Sus scrofa: one gene and its partners. The protein of the gene in region 1 purifies or fractionates together with the protein of each later gene. This does not show direct contact. Links are inferred from orthologs where the notes say so. Each region holds a gene or a part of one and is shown on either strand. Other genes may lie near its edges.

The links. The genes of interacting proteins can lie anywhere in the genome.
Region 2: the proteins of RB1 (region 1) and TFDP2 purify together in Homo sapiens (affinity purification with mass spectrometry; 4 studies listed by BioGRID and IntAct, counting the BioPlex papers as one, with this or other methods). This does not show direct contact. The link is inferred for Sus scrofa from reciprocal best matches to the Homo sapiens genes RB1 and TFDP2.
Region 3: the proteins of RB1 (region 1) and PHB purify together in Homo sapiens (affinity purification with western blotting; 3 studies listed by BioGRID). This does not show direct contact. The link is inferred for Sus scrofa from reciprocal best matches to the Homo sapiens genes RB1 and PHB1.

The regions. Positions count from the first base shown.
Region 1 is NC_010453.5:19,314,836-19,318,841, forward strand, and holds the start of RB1 (retinoblastoma-associated protein), read right to left. Parts: upstream 2,801-4,006; 5' UTR 2,670-2,800; coding exon 2,506-2,669; intron 385-2,505; coding exon 258-384; intron 1-257. UniProt on the Homo sapiens protein: Tumor suppressor that is a key regulator of the G1/S transition of the cell cycle. The hypophosphorylated form binds transcription regulators of the E2F family, preventing transcription of E2F-responsive genes.
Region 2 is NC_010455.5:82,766,791-82,770,290, forward strand, and holds part of TFDP2 (transcription factor Dp-2), read right to left. Parts: intron 1,372-3,500; coding exon 1,220-1,371; intron 1-1,219. UniProt on the Homo sapiens protein: Can stimulate E2F-dependent transcription.
Region 3 is NC_010454.4:25,603,194-25,606,693, forward strand, and holds part of PHB (prohibitin), read right to left. Parts: intron 2,612-3,500; coding exon 2,450-2,611; intron 1-2,449.

The sequences.
Region 1 (4,006 bases):
AGTCTTTATGGCACAATGAAGTATTTACAAATAAAATATGATATTTATGAGTTGTTTTAAAATGCTTTTGGTGGGGAGCTAACATAGGGAGTTTTTTTCCTTAATTTTTAGTTTTATCAGAAGTAAGTTACCTCTGAATAATAGACTTGTTCCTAGCTTTAGTTTATATTTTTCTATTTTCCAAATTTTCTATGGTGATTTAAAATAATTTTTAAAATGAGAAAAATATTTTCAAAAAATTTTAAGACAATCCTTACCAATACTCCATCCACAGATGAAACCTTCTCCCAAGTTAACCAAGCTCTTTCTCTGACATGATCTGCTATCTTTAATTTCTGACATAATGTAGTAAAATCAGGTTCTTCAGTTTCTTCAAATGCAAGCCTACCAAATGAAAATATAATATAAAAGGCACTTTTATAATCAAATTAATTACGTAAGCATTGGTTTCACTGGTTTGCATATAATATAGCACTATTCTGAAAGACATCACCAAATACTTTGGGATCTTAACTATCGCTTAAAAAATTACACTTAGAATTTAAACGTATGTTGATCTTTTCAGTATTTCCAAAATAAGAGTACCACATAGTGAAAAATGTTTGCTGGCCTGGTAAATCATAGGAACTTCAGTGCAGCAACATAGCTTTGGGAAGAAAAGCAAGTACAATAGCTACAGCTGTTAGGAAAAATTGGGACAGTAACAGAAAAGGAAAGCCATAGATAACATTACAGAACCAATTCAGTATCGGTGACTTTGCTAAAATGCAGTCCACTCTCAACAACGATTCATTTAATCTCTCTACCTACTACTAGTGTTTCTTATATGATTAAATTATTGATATGCTTATTTCAGCCTTTTCTCCTTGATCTTCCTTAACCAAGATAGGCAGTCAAAAAATTCTTGTTGGCTAATTCTTATTCATTCACTTAATATCTATTTGACATAAGAATAGTATAGTACAAGGAACAGCTAATAATTTTTTAGTATTTACTATGCTCCATATGAACAGGATTTAAATGAATTGATGGGGTTTAGATGCATGGTTTAATACATACATAAGCCCTAACAGGTAAGTACTCTGATGATCACAAATCAGAGAAGTTAAAGCACTCACCTGAGATCACAGCGAGTAAGTGGGAAGCTCTAATATAAACCCAGTAATCTAACTCTCTAATCCATGCCCCTGACCCTATTCCAGACTGCCAAACCTCCTTTGAAACACAATTAACTTTTGGTTATCTCAAGAATGAAGACTGTGTGCTGTTCTGGTATTTCCAAAAGCCCACTTCAGTCCCTAACAATGTGTCCTAGGGCGGTGAAAGAAATAGGACTTGCTGACGGATCAGAACTGCAGGAAAGAGTGGTGAGGATCAGCAGAGTCCCATCCCCTGGCAATTGATGCGTAGTCTCAAAGGAGGGCCAGTGCTAACAATGATAATGACAATTACACTCTTTCGATCTTGGCTTCTAAACCGTAAAGCATCACAATCAAGAAAAATAAGATGCTGCAATAACTATCTCCCTATATTATCATGGACTCGCTGAAATTTAGAATCCACCTGGGGGGAAAATTAATTTTATGTGAGCACAAGAACACTAATCTTGTTCCCAAACAAATACAAAAGAGACACCAAGATCCTTGCTGGCTCAAAGCCAAAAGGCAAAATGGAAGAAAAAAAGAGGCAGCCTGAAGCAGACTATCATGCAAGAAGAGTTTTATGCAACAAGAAAAATGAGAACGTTCAGAAACTTCGAAGCTCTTGAGCTAAATGTCTCACAAAACTTTTACCGATACAACAAGTTCCTCTTAGAGAGCTATGTTCCACCAGTCACTACCGAAGGCTTAGAACTCAAAGCACTCTTTACAAGGGAACCCCGAAAAGCACCCCAGCCGAGCTCCCGGAGGGGCAACTGCCACCCAGAACCCTGCACTTCACGTCCGGTGGCATCTCTGCAGCAGTATCCAAGGTTTTCCTGGCTGGCCTCTCCCAGGACTGGGCTTCAGATGAGTCGCACGCCCAGAGGAAAACACTTCCAAATGTTGCACCGCGGGAGACCAAAACAGAAAGTCGAAAGACCACCGGAGGACTACAAATCTCAAATGGGGAAAAACCTCTCCAGCAATCTAGTCTTTCTTTTCTTTTTTTCTTTCTTCTGCATTTGATGGGGTCTGCAAACGACCCGCCGCCTGCGAGGCTCCCGTCTCGCGGAGGAAAGGCGGCACCTGTCACTTCGCTCAGCGACCCGAGCCCCACCCGCTCGACACCTGTCAAGCGGGAGCCGAAACCCCTCCCGGCCGCCCTCCCCTCGTTCCCGACCCCAGACCCCTGTCAGCCTCCTCCCGGCGCTCCGCCGCCGCGGGGGGCCGGGGAGGACCCTCCTCCCGCCGGGACCCGGCCCGGGCGGAGACGCGCCCCCGCCTAGACGCCGCGGCGCCCGCCGACGCACCCCCGGGGCGCCCTTCCCGCGCGCTGGCCGCCGCGACGGGTCGGCTCGCTCACCTGACCAGAGGCAGGTCCTCGGGGCCGCTGTCCTGCTCGGGGTCCTCCTCAGGCTGCGGTGGCGGCGGTGGCGGCGGCGGCGGCGGCGGCGGCGGGGGCTCCGCAGCAGCAGCGGCGGCGGCGGCGGCGGCGGCGGCTGCTCTCCGGGGGGTTTTGGGCGGCATGACGCCCTCCCAGGGCCGGTGCCGGCGAGCGCTGAAGGAGGGCCGGGGCAGGAGGACACGCGCACGTCAGGGCACGCCCCGTCCTCTCCCGACTCCCGTTACAAAAATAATTTGAACGTCCCCTGAGAAAAACCGGACGAGCCCTCCCCCGCCCGGCAACCGAGCGCCGCGTCCAACCGCGGGAAAACGTCACTTCCGCCCGCGGCGTCACGTCCGCGAGGCTCCCGGGCCCGCTGGCGTTTGGAGGGCACCGGGGCGCCGAGCGGGGCGCGGGGCGAGGGCGCGCGGTCGGGCGGGGAACCCGGGCCTGGAGATCCAGGCGCGCTCCCTGAGGCAGCCGCCGCCGCCTGAACCTGCCTCGCGCCGAAACTCGCCCCTCCAGGCTTGGGTGCCGGTAACCGGGCGCTACCCAGCCTGGTGGGTGAGAGCGGGCCCCACCTCAATCTGCGGGTGGATCTGGGGCCCGGCTCGAGCCCGCGGGGAATATCGGGCGAGCGCACCCTGGGCCGGCACGCCCCTCTCCTCCGCGGGCGTCGCCCTCGCTTTCGCCCGCCCTCCTCCCGCCCAATCCGTTAAGCGAATCGGCCAAAACAAAAACACTTCTGGAATGCCTGTTAGGAGCTGAGTTTGGCCAACCCCTAGGAGATCCCAAGGAGGGGACAATGACTGGCCTTTTAGAGCTCTTTTTAGGGAAAGGGGTGGGAGCTGTGAGCAAAGAACTGATTATCGGGTGCTAAGTGTTTTAATCGCGCTGTGAAAACTGAAGCCACGGTTGAAATGTTTAAGGGACTTCTTCCGAGGAGCAGTAGCATTTGAATGGAAGTTAGCCAGACAGACCTAACATTTAAGGAGGGCTTACTATATGTATAAAGAATTGTTCTGGCCATTTTACATAATTATCTTACTTAATCCTCACCAACATCCCCTTAAACTGAGTCGTAGTCGAATTCTACTTTCCAGTGCGGAAAACAGGTGCAGAGGAGTTAATTAATTTGCCTGATACTACAGAGATGATAGGTGGTAGAGGATTTGAACACAGATATATTTGACTCGACTTGTCCATTACATTATGTTAAAGAAATACCAAGAAAAGAGAAACAGCTTGTGCAAAGGCACAAAGACATCAGAGAAGAGTTTGCCGGAATTGCAACCATTAAACATTGGCTTAGAAACTGTCTCTTTTGTCTCTTGATATTTACTTATAATAAGAGATTGTCTTGTTTGAGAACATGTTTTTCCCTCATTGGCAAATGCTGTGTGTTGCCATGTCAAAGCTTCCCAGCTGAGGTGCTGTGAATAAAATACAGCTGTGCTCTTGAGGCGAATCCCCTCATCTT
Region 2 (3,500 bases), on another chromosome or scaffold:
GCTCGGGAAAACAGTATGGAGGTTCCTCAAAAAATTAAAATGACCCAGCAATCCCACCTCTGGGTATGTATCTGAAGGAAATCACAATCCTGAGCAGATAACCTGCATTCCCATGTTTACTGCCTACAGCATCATTTCCAACAGCCGAGGCATGGAAACAATCTGTGTCCACCATCAGATGAATGGATAAAGAAAATGTGGGGTATACACACAATGGGTCATTCAGCCATAAAAAAAGAAGGAAATCCTGCCATTTGCAACAACATGGATGCCCCTTGAGAGTATTACGCTAAGTGAGACAAAAAGAGAAAAACAAATAGTGTACGATCTCATAAGTGGAATCTTAAAAAAACAAAAACTAAAACCAAAACCAAACTCAGGAGTTCCCATCGTGGCGCAGTGGTTAACGAATCCGACTAGGAACCATGAGGTTGTGGGTTCGATCCCTGCCTTTGCTCAGTGGGTTAAAAGATCTGGCGTTGCCGTGAGCTGTGGTGTAGGTTGCAGACGTGGCTCGGATCCCGCGTTGCTGTGGCTCTGGCATAGGCTGGCAGCTACAGCTCCGATTAGACCCCTAGCCTGGGAACCTCCATGTGCCACGGGAGTGGCCCTAGAAAAGACCAAAAAAAACAAACAAACAAACAAACAAAAAAAACAAAACCAAACTCACAGATGCAGAGAACAGACTGGTAACCTGCCAGACATGGGGGGTGAGTGAAATGAATGAAGATGGTCAAAAGGTACAGACTTCACAGGATGAGATAAATAAGAAAGAAAGCAGAGAACACATCTAGCATTTTCACATCTGTTCGTTCATCATAAAGAGAAGCACACTCAACTCTGACACAGCAAAGGAAAACAACTGCTTTAGTGCAGCATTGATCTAAACCATTCTCAGCATCAACTACGACAGTGAATCACCAGCGAACCTACCTGAGTGATGCTCTACTTTACCTGCCCAGAGTTACACCACCTACATGTACATACATGGGCACCACCATGCATATGACAAAGGCAGCACAGGGCCAGGCCCAAGAGAGGGGGTTGCGGAGGGTGAATGACAGAGCAAGCACTAGCAGGTGACGGCACCCCATGTCTGCAAAGCCGTTTCATATGCCTTGAGGAAGTCAGCCTTGGAGCACAACCCTCTTAATTTTGCAATTGTTCGGCATAACGTTAGAAGGTGAGCCCTGCACTCTGCTGCTCGTTCCCCACTTACTTGTCACTGGAGATGCTGCAATCTATGACTGTTTTTCTGCTTGTGTTGATGATTATAAACGGCAGCTGGATGGTGGAGTTCAGAGCTGGAGGGCCCTGGTTCTGCTGTTCATTTTGCCGATTTCTCTGTACCAGGTTTTTGAAAGCAATTTGCTGTGATGATCAATAAAAACATACATTTAGTCATTTCATGTGGATAAAGGAGGTGGAACTAAATGGATTATGATGAATACGCTTAAAATATAGTTTAAAATGAGAGCATTTAAAGAGGCCTTTCACCTCTGGGTTAATTAAAATTAAATATTTAAGAAGAAAGATTAGAACGATCCAACTCAATAAATTTCAAGGGAAAAATATACTCTTAAATGGTGTCTAACGTATCCTAATGTAAATAATAGGGCCCATGGCTTCCACCACCCACTAAAGCAGGATCTTACAGATCTGGGAGAAGCCAGTGCACCCACAACTCATAGAGTGAGTAATACAGAGAAAGTGACACCAAGTGGACTTGTTTTCATTTATCTAACACAGACTCCTGAGAGCTTAGCATGAAATACACTTCTTAGATTGTCTAGCCCAGAAATATGCAAATTTTATAAAGCCACAGAACCCTTTCTTCAAATGACATCTTCTGGGACAGCCACTATTTATATAACAGATGAAAGCAGCATTGCTCTGGCTGGATGCATGGGACTGAGTCCTGAGCCCTAAGCCCCAACAGGTCTGCCCTCACCTGAGATCCTTCACAGAACTTCTAAGCATCCTGAGGGCAGAGTCTGGAACCTGGCCCAACCTCTGCCCACCTGACATCTTCCAGATGAGGAAACTGATTCTAAGATATACCAAGGCCTGAATCTTTACACTGAATCTCGCTACTTTTAGTTATAACCATTACTCATAAGGCATAGAAAGTGACCCCCGCCTCCCCTTTTTCTTACTAGGGCTGCACCCGCAGCATATGGAAGTTCCCAGGCTAGGGGTCGAATCAGAGCTGCAGCTGCCAGCGTATGCCCCAGCCACATCAAACCTGAGCTGCATCTTCGACTTACATGCAAGTTGTGGCAATGCAGGATCCTTAATCCACTAAGTAGGGCCAAGAAGTGAACCTGCACCCTCATGGGTACTAGTCAGGTTCTTAACCCCCTGAGCCACAAAAGGAATTCCTACCACAGCCCCCCCACTGTTTTCCATTTGGGGACCACAAGGTAAAACTTTCAAGGCAGACTTGGTTCCACCCAACCAGCACATGATGAAACCCTCATCTAAAACCTTCATCCAAGAGGGCACTGTCCGCCCCAAAAGTCACCTCAGAGGCCAGACCCTTCCTTCTAACGATGCCACTGTAGTCGCAGATCATTTGGAACTGCTCCCCCAAGCAACTGTGTGGAATGCTTGTCTGGGGCAGTTCACCGTCTGCCTACAAGACCATTGTCAGGATTTTGAGGCCATAGCTTCCTCTGGCACAAAACGACATTTCAATGTAATCATTGTAATAGATGGCAAAAAAAGTCACAGTTCTCTCTTTGCTCCTACATCCCTACCATTTGATTTGTAATTTGCTTTGGCCAATGGGATGTTGGCAGAAATAATGCACAGGCTTGAAAATGGACTTGCACACAGAAATTTCTTTCTCTCTATGGCTCTGCCATCAACATGAAACTATGGCCCAGTTAGCTTAAGAGGAGCTACTGTCCACAAGGCAGGAAGGGTAGGCAGTGAATTCCCCCTGGACCCTCTGCAGAGGGCAGATGTAGGGCCAGCCTGCAGGGTGCGAGCCCCCAGTCCCTGGGGCCCACTGTCAGACCAAAAGAAGATGCAAGGTCATTTCCAGGGCGAGGTCTCAGGGGACGAGGGAACTACATCTCCATGACCTGGTCCCTACTACCGCTTTTTAAATAAGGCAGAACCCACAGTTACAAAAACCTTAGGCAACTGAAGTCTTTGATCTGCTCATAGAACGGATACTAGTTTTAAAAACTAAAGTTGGAATCTTTCTTCGGCTTGCTCCATCTTCTCCCCCAGCAGTGATGAGTTTATTTTCTACATTTCAATAGCCTTATTCTAAGGTGGTTTATTTTAGGTTCTGGGCCTTACTGAAGTTTGGTTACAATTATTATTTTTAAATGGCTGGGTGCTATCTCCCTGGAAAGTAAACATTTACTTTTTGAAAATGCACGAAACAGAAGGGACACCAGTATATTCTAGGCCTAAAAGTGTGTCCAAAAGTCACTACCCAAAACCATCACTGTCGATACCATTCATTACCAAACATTACTTGGGTC
Region 3 (3,500 bases), on another chromosome or scaffold:
GCACCAGATGGAAGGGGTTATCAGACGCATCAAGAGGCCAGTTCTAATTACTTGGCCCGGTCAAAGGAATCCGGGAAGGGAACTAAAACTTCCCCTTGACAACCCAGGCCTGCTTGGCGCTAAAGTGCTCAGAGCTTGCTCGTGGTCACAGCAGTATGGACCAAGCGCCCGGGAGAGCAGCTCTGAACCAGGCACCAGATGTGGGACATGTTCACACACGAGTCCCTGATCTCTGCGGTTCCCATCAAGTTCTGAAGAGAGGTGCACAGTGTACCCTTGAGGCGCACCGTGTAACCACTAAACGGTAGAGAGAGAGAGCACTCCCGGAGAGAGCGAACACTGAGAACCAGGCCTGTAAGATAAAATAGGATTTTTCTTGATTAACCACACCCCACCACTGAGGTCCTCTGACGCGGTTGCTAAGCCGGACCCTTTACAAGGCTCCTTCCTCTCCCCGGCTGGCGGGGGGGGGGGGGGGGGGGGGCAACAGGACAGACGATGCAACACCAATGCACCGCGTCCCCTCCTCAGCCCGCCACACATCTCCCTCTCAAGTGCCAGCAGATGCATGTGCCTCGTAAGCGGGCTCCTCTCTGCTCTCCCCACAGGCTGTGCCCGCCACGCTTCCCTCTAACTGCCTGTCCGCAGGACCACCTCCCAGCTAGACCGAGCTCCTAAGGGCACCTGCTGCCTGCTGCCGTCGTCTTTAAACCCCCGCTCTCTGACCCAGCCCCAGGCCTGGCACCACCACAGAAAGCAAACATCTGCTGAGGATCAGCGACGTCCCCTCAACCCTCTCCCCTTGCTGCACAGAAACGTCACCCCTGAGCCTGTACCTGCCATTCCGTTTACCGCCCGTGCACCTCTGGGGGTGGGAAGAGGGGAGAACCAGAACAGCCATTCATTTTAGGCTCCGACTGGGACGCCAGTGGTGCGCCAGGCACCAGACTTGGGGATGTGGGCTTTGGCCTGTGCGAAAGCCATGAGAGTGCAGCACTGCTGGAAGCAGAGGCCCTGGGAAGCAGGGCAAAGGCTAAGTCAGCTGTGAAGGCCAACAGACGGGCTGGAGATCAGTTTACAGTCACCCTGGGGAATGAGAACCGACTGGGAAGGGTCAACTGAGGGGGCACAGGCGCATTTAGATTTCTGTAAACCTGGATCACCGGGTAACTCTTGAAATACATCTGCGTGCATTTCTCTAAATTTGTACGGCTCTGTGCGCGGATCTCCAGTATACAGGCACGCCTCGTTTTATTGTGCTTTGCAGACACTGCATTTTTTTACAAATTGAAGATGTGTGGCAACTCTGGATCAAGCAAGTCTATCTGTGCCATTTTTCTTTTCTTTTTTTTTTGTTTAGGGCCACACCCACGGCATATGGAGGTTCCCAGGCTAGGGGTCCAATCGGAGCTGTAGCTGCCAACCTACACCACAGCCACAGCCACGCCAGATTCGAGCCCCATCTGCGACCTACTCCACGGCTCACGGCAACGCCGGATCCTTAACCCACTGAGCGAGGCCAGGGATCGAACCTGAAACCTCATGGTTCCTAGTTGGATTTGTTGCTGCTACGCCCCGAGGAGAACTCCATATCTGTGCCATTTTTCTAAAAGTATCTGCTTTGTGTCTGTGTCACATTTAGGTAATTGTTGCAGTATTTCAAAAATTTCCAGCATTGCCGGATTTGTTGTAGTGATCTGTGATCAATGATCTGTGATGTTACTTCGATAATTCACCCAAGGCTCAAAGGCTGGTCAGCATTTTTAAGCCATAAAGTTTGCTTGTTTGTTTTTTTTGGCCACAGCCTGCAGTGGCGGGATGTGGGATCTCAGTTCCCAGACCAGGGATGGAACCTGGGCTGCAGCAGTGAAAGCGCCAAGTCCTAACCACTAGACCACCAGGGACTCCCCAACCACAATGTTTTCTTTCTTTATCTTAAACTTTTAATGACTTTTACTTTTTCCATTATAGTTGCTTTACAGTGTTCTGTCAATTTCTACTGTACAGCAAAGTGACACAGTCACACACACACATGTACACATTCTTTTTCTCACATTATCTTCCATCAGTAACTTTTTCTTTCTTTCTTTTTTTTTTTTTTTTGGCTGCGCCTGCACCATACAAAAGCTCCTGGGCCAGCTACTGAACCTCTGGCACGCAGCGACCTGAACCACAGCAGGGACAACACCAGATCCTCAACCTGCTCGGCCACCAGGGAACTCTGTCAAGCATTTCACTGTATTAGAGCATCTGCCTCGCTGTGGTGGTCTGTGACCAAACCAGGGGTATCTCGAAGGGTTGCCTATTTCCTTCTATGCTGCATAAAGGCACATAAAACTCTTTAGGAAAGATATGCCAGGAACTCTTACAATGTGAAGTTCGACCCCTTCTGGATCTCACAGTAGCCTCCCCGACTCTCCACTTGCCCTGACCCACACACAAGACTCACCTTTGCTACCAGTGATCACTGGCACGTTACGTGGTCGAGAGCGGCAGTCAAAGATAATTGGCTTCTGTACCCAAGGGATGAGAAAGTGCGTCCCTTCCCCTACAACAATGTCCTGCACACCACGGAACCGGTCAAAGATGACAGCTCTGTGCCCAGCATCCACTAGGAATGAAGGAAAACGATGGGTCAGAAAAATCCCTTCACCCGTTAACCAAAATGATCATGCCCTTGAAAGATCCCTGGCGCCTTTTTTTTTTTTTTTTTTTTTTTTTTTGCTTTTTAAGGGCTGCACCCAAGGCATATGGAAGTTCCCAGACTAGGGGTCAAATGGAAGCTATAGCGGCTGGCCTAACCACAGCCATAGCAACATCAGATCCAAGCCTCGCCTGCGACCTACACCACAGCTCACGGCAACACCGGATCCTTAACCCACTGAGCGCGGCCAGGGATGGAACCTGTGTCCTCATGGATACTAATCAGGTTACTGCTGAGCCACAACGGGAACTCCTCCCAGTGCTTTCTATTCATGTATTAAGTCTCCCCTCTCCTGCTCTACATTCCCAGACTTCTGACCTCTAGAGGCTTCTAAATGGCTACAAAACAAAGCAATCACTCCCATGTGTCTTCCCAAGGACTTTGGTTACAGGAGCTTTCCTCAGCACCCTTTCTCTCTGAAACAACTGGCTGCTGATTTTCTGATTAACCACCTCACTCCCAAACTCGCAAAGCATTTCCAGAAATCACTTCTCAAAACTTTCTAAAACTCACCAAGGTCTTCACTGTTACCACATTCCCTCCGGTTCCAGCCTCACCCAGTGTGCGCAGAAACAGCACCCTCACTCCGGCAACCCTACAACTCAGAAGGCCCCACTCTTTACTTCCAATAGCTTGGTTTCTCTACGGTTTTAAGGGGCTACAGAGCTGTCTTGCTGACTGAGAGAGAAATGAGTGATGGTGATGATGTCTAGCCATGCAGGGCTGGCCAAAAAGATCAGAGTATATCTGCCTTTTTGCACTTTGTGGTCAGTTCAATTATCTTTTTTTTTTTTTT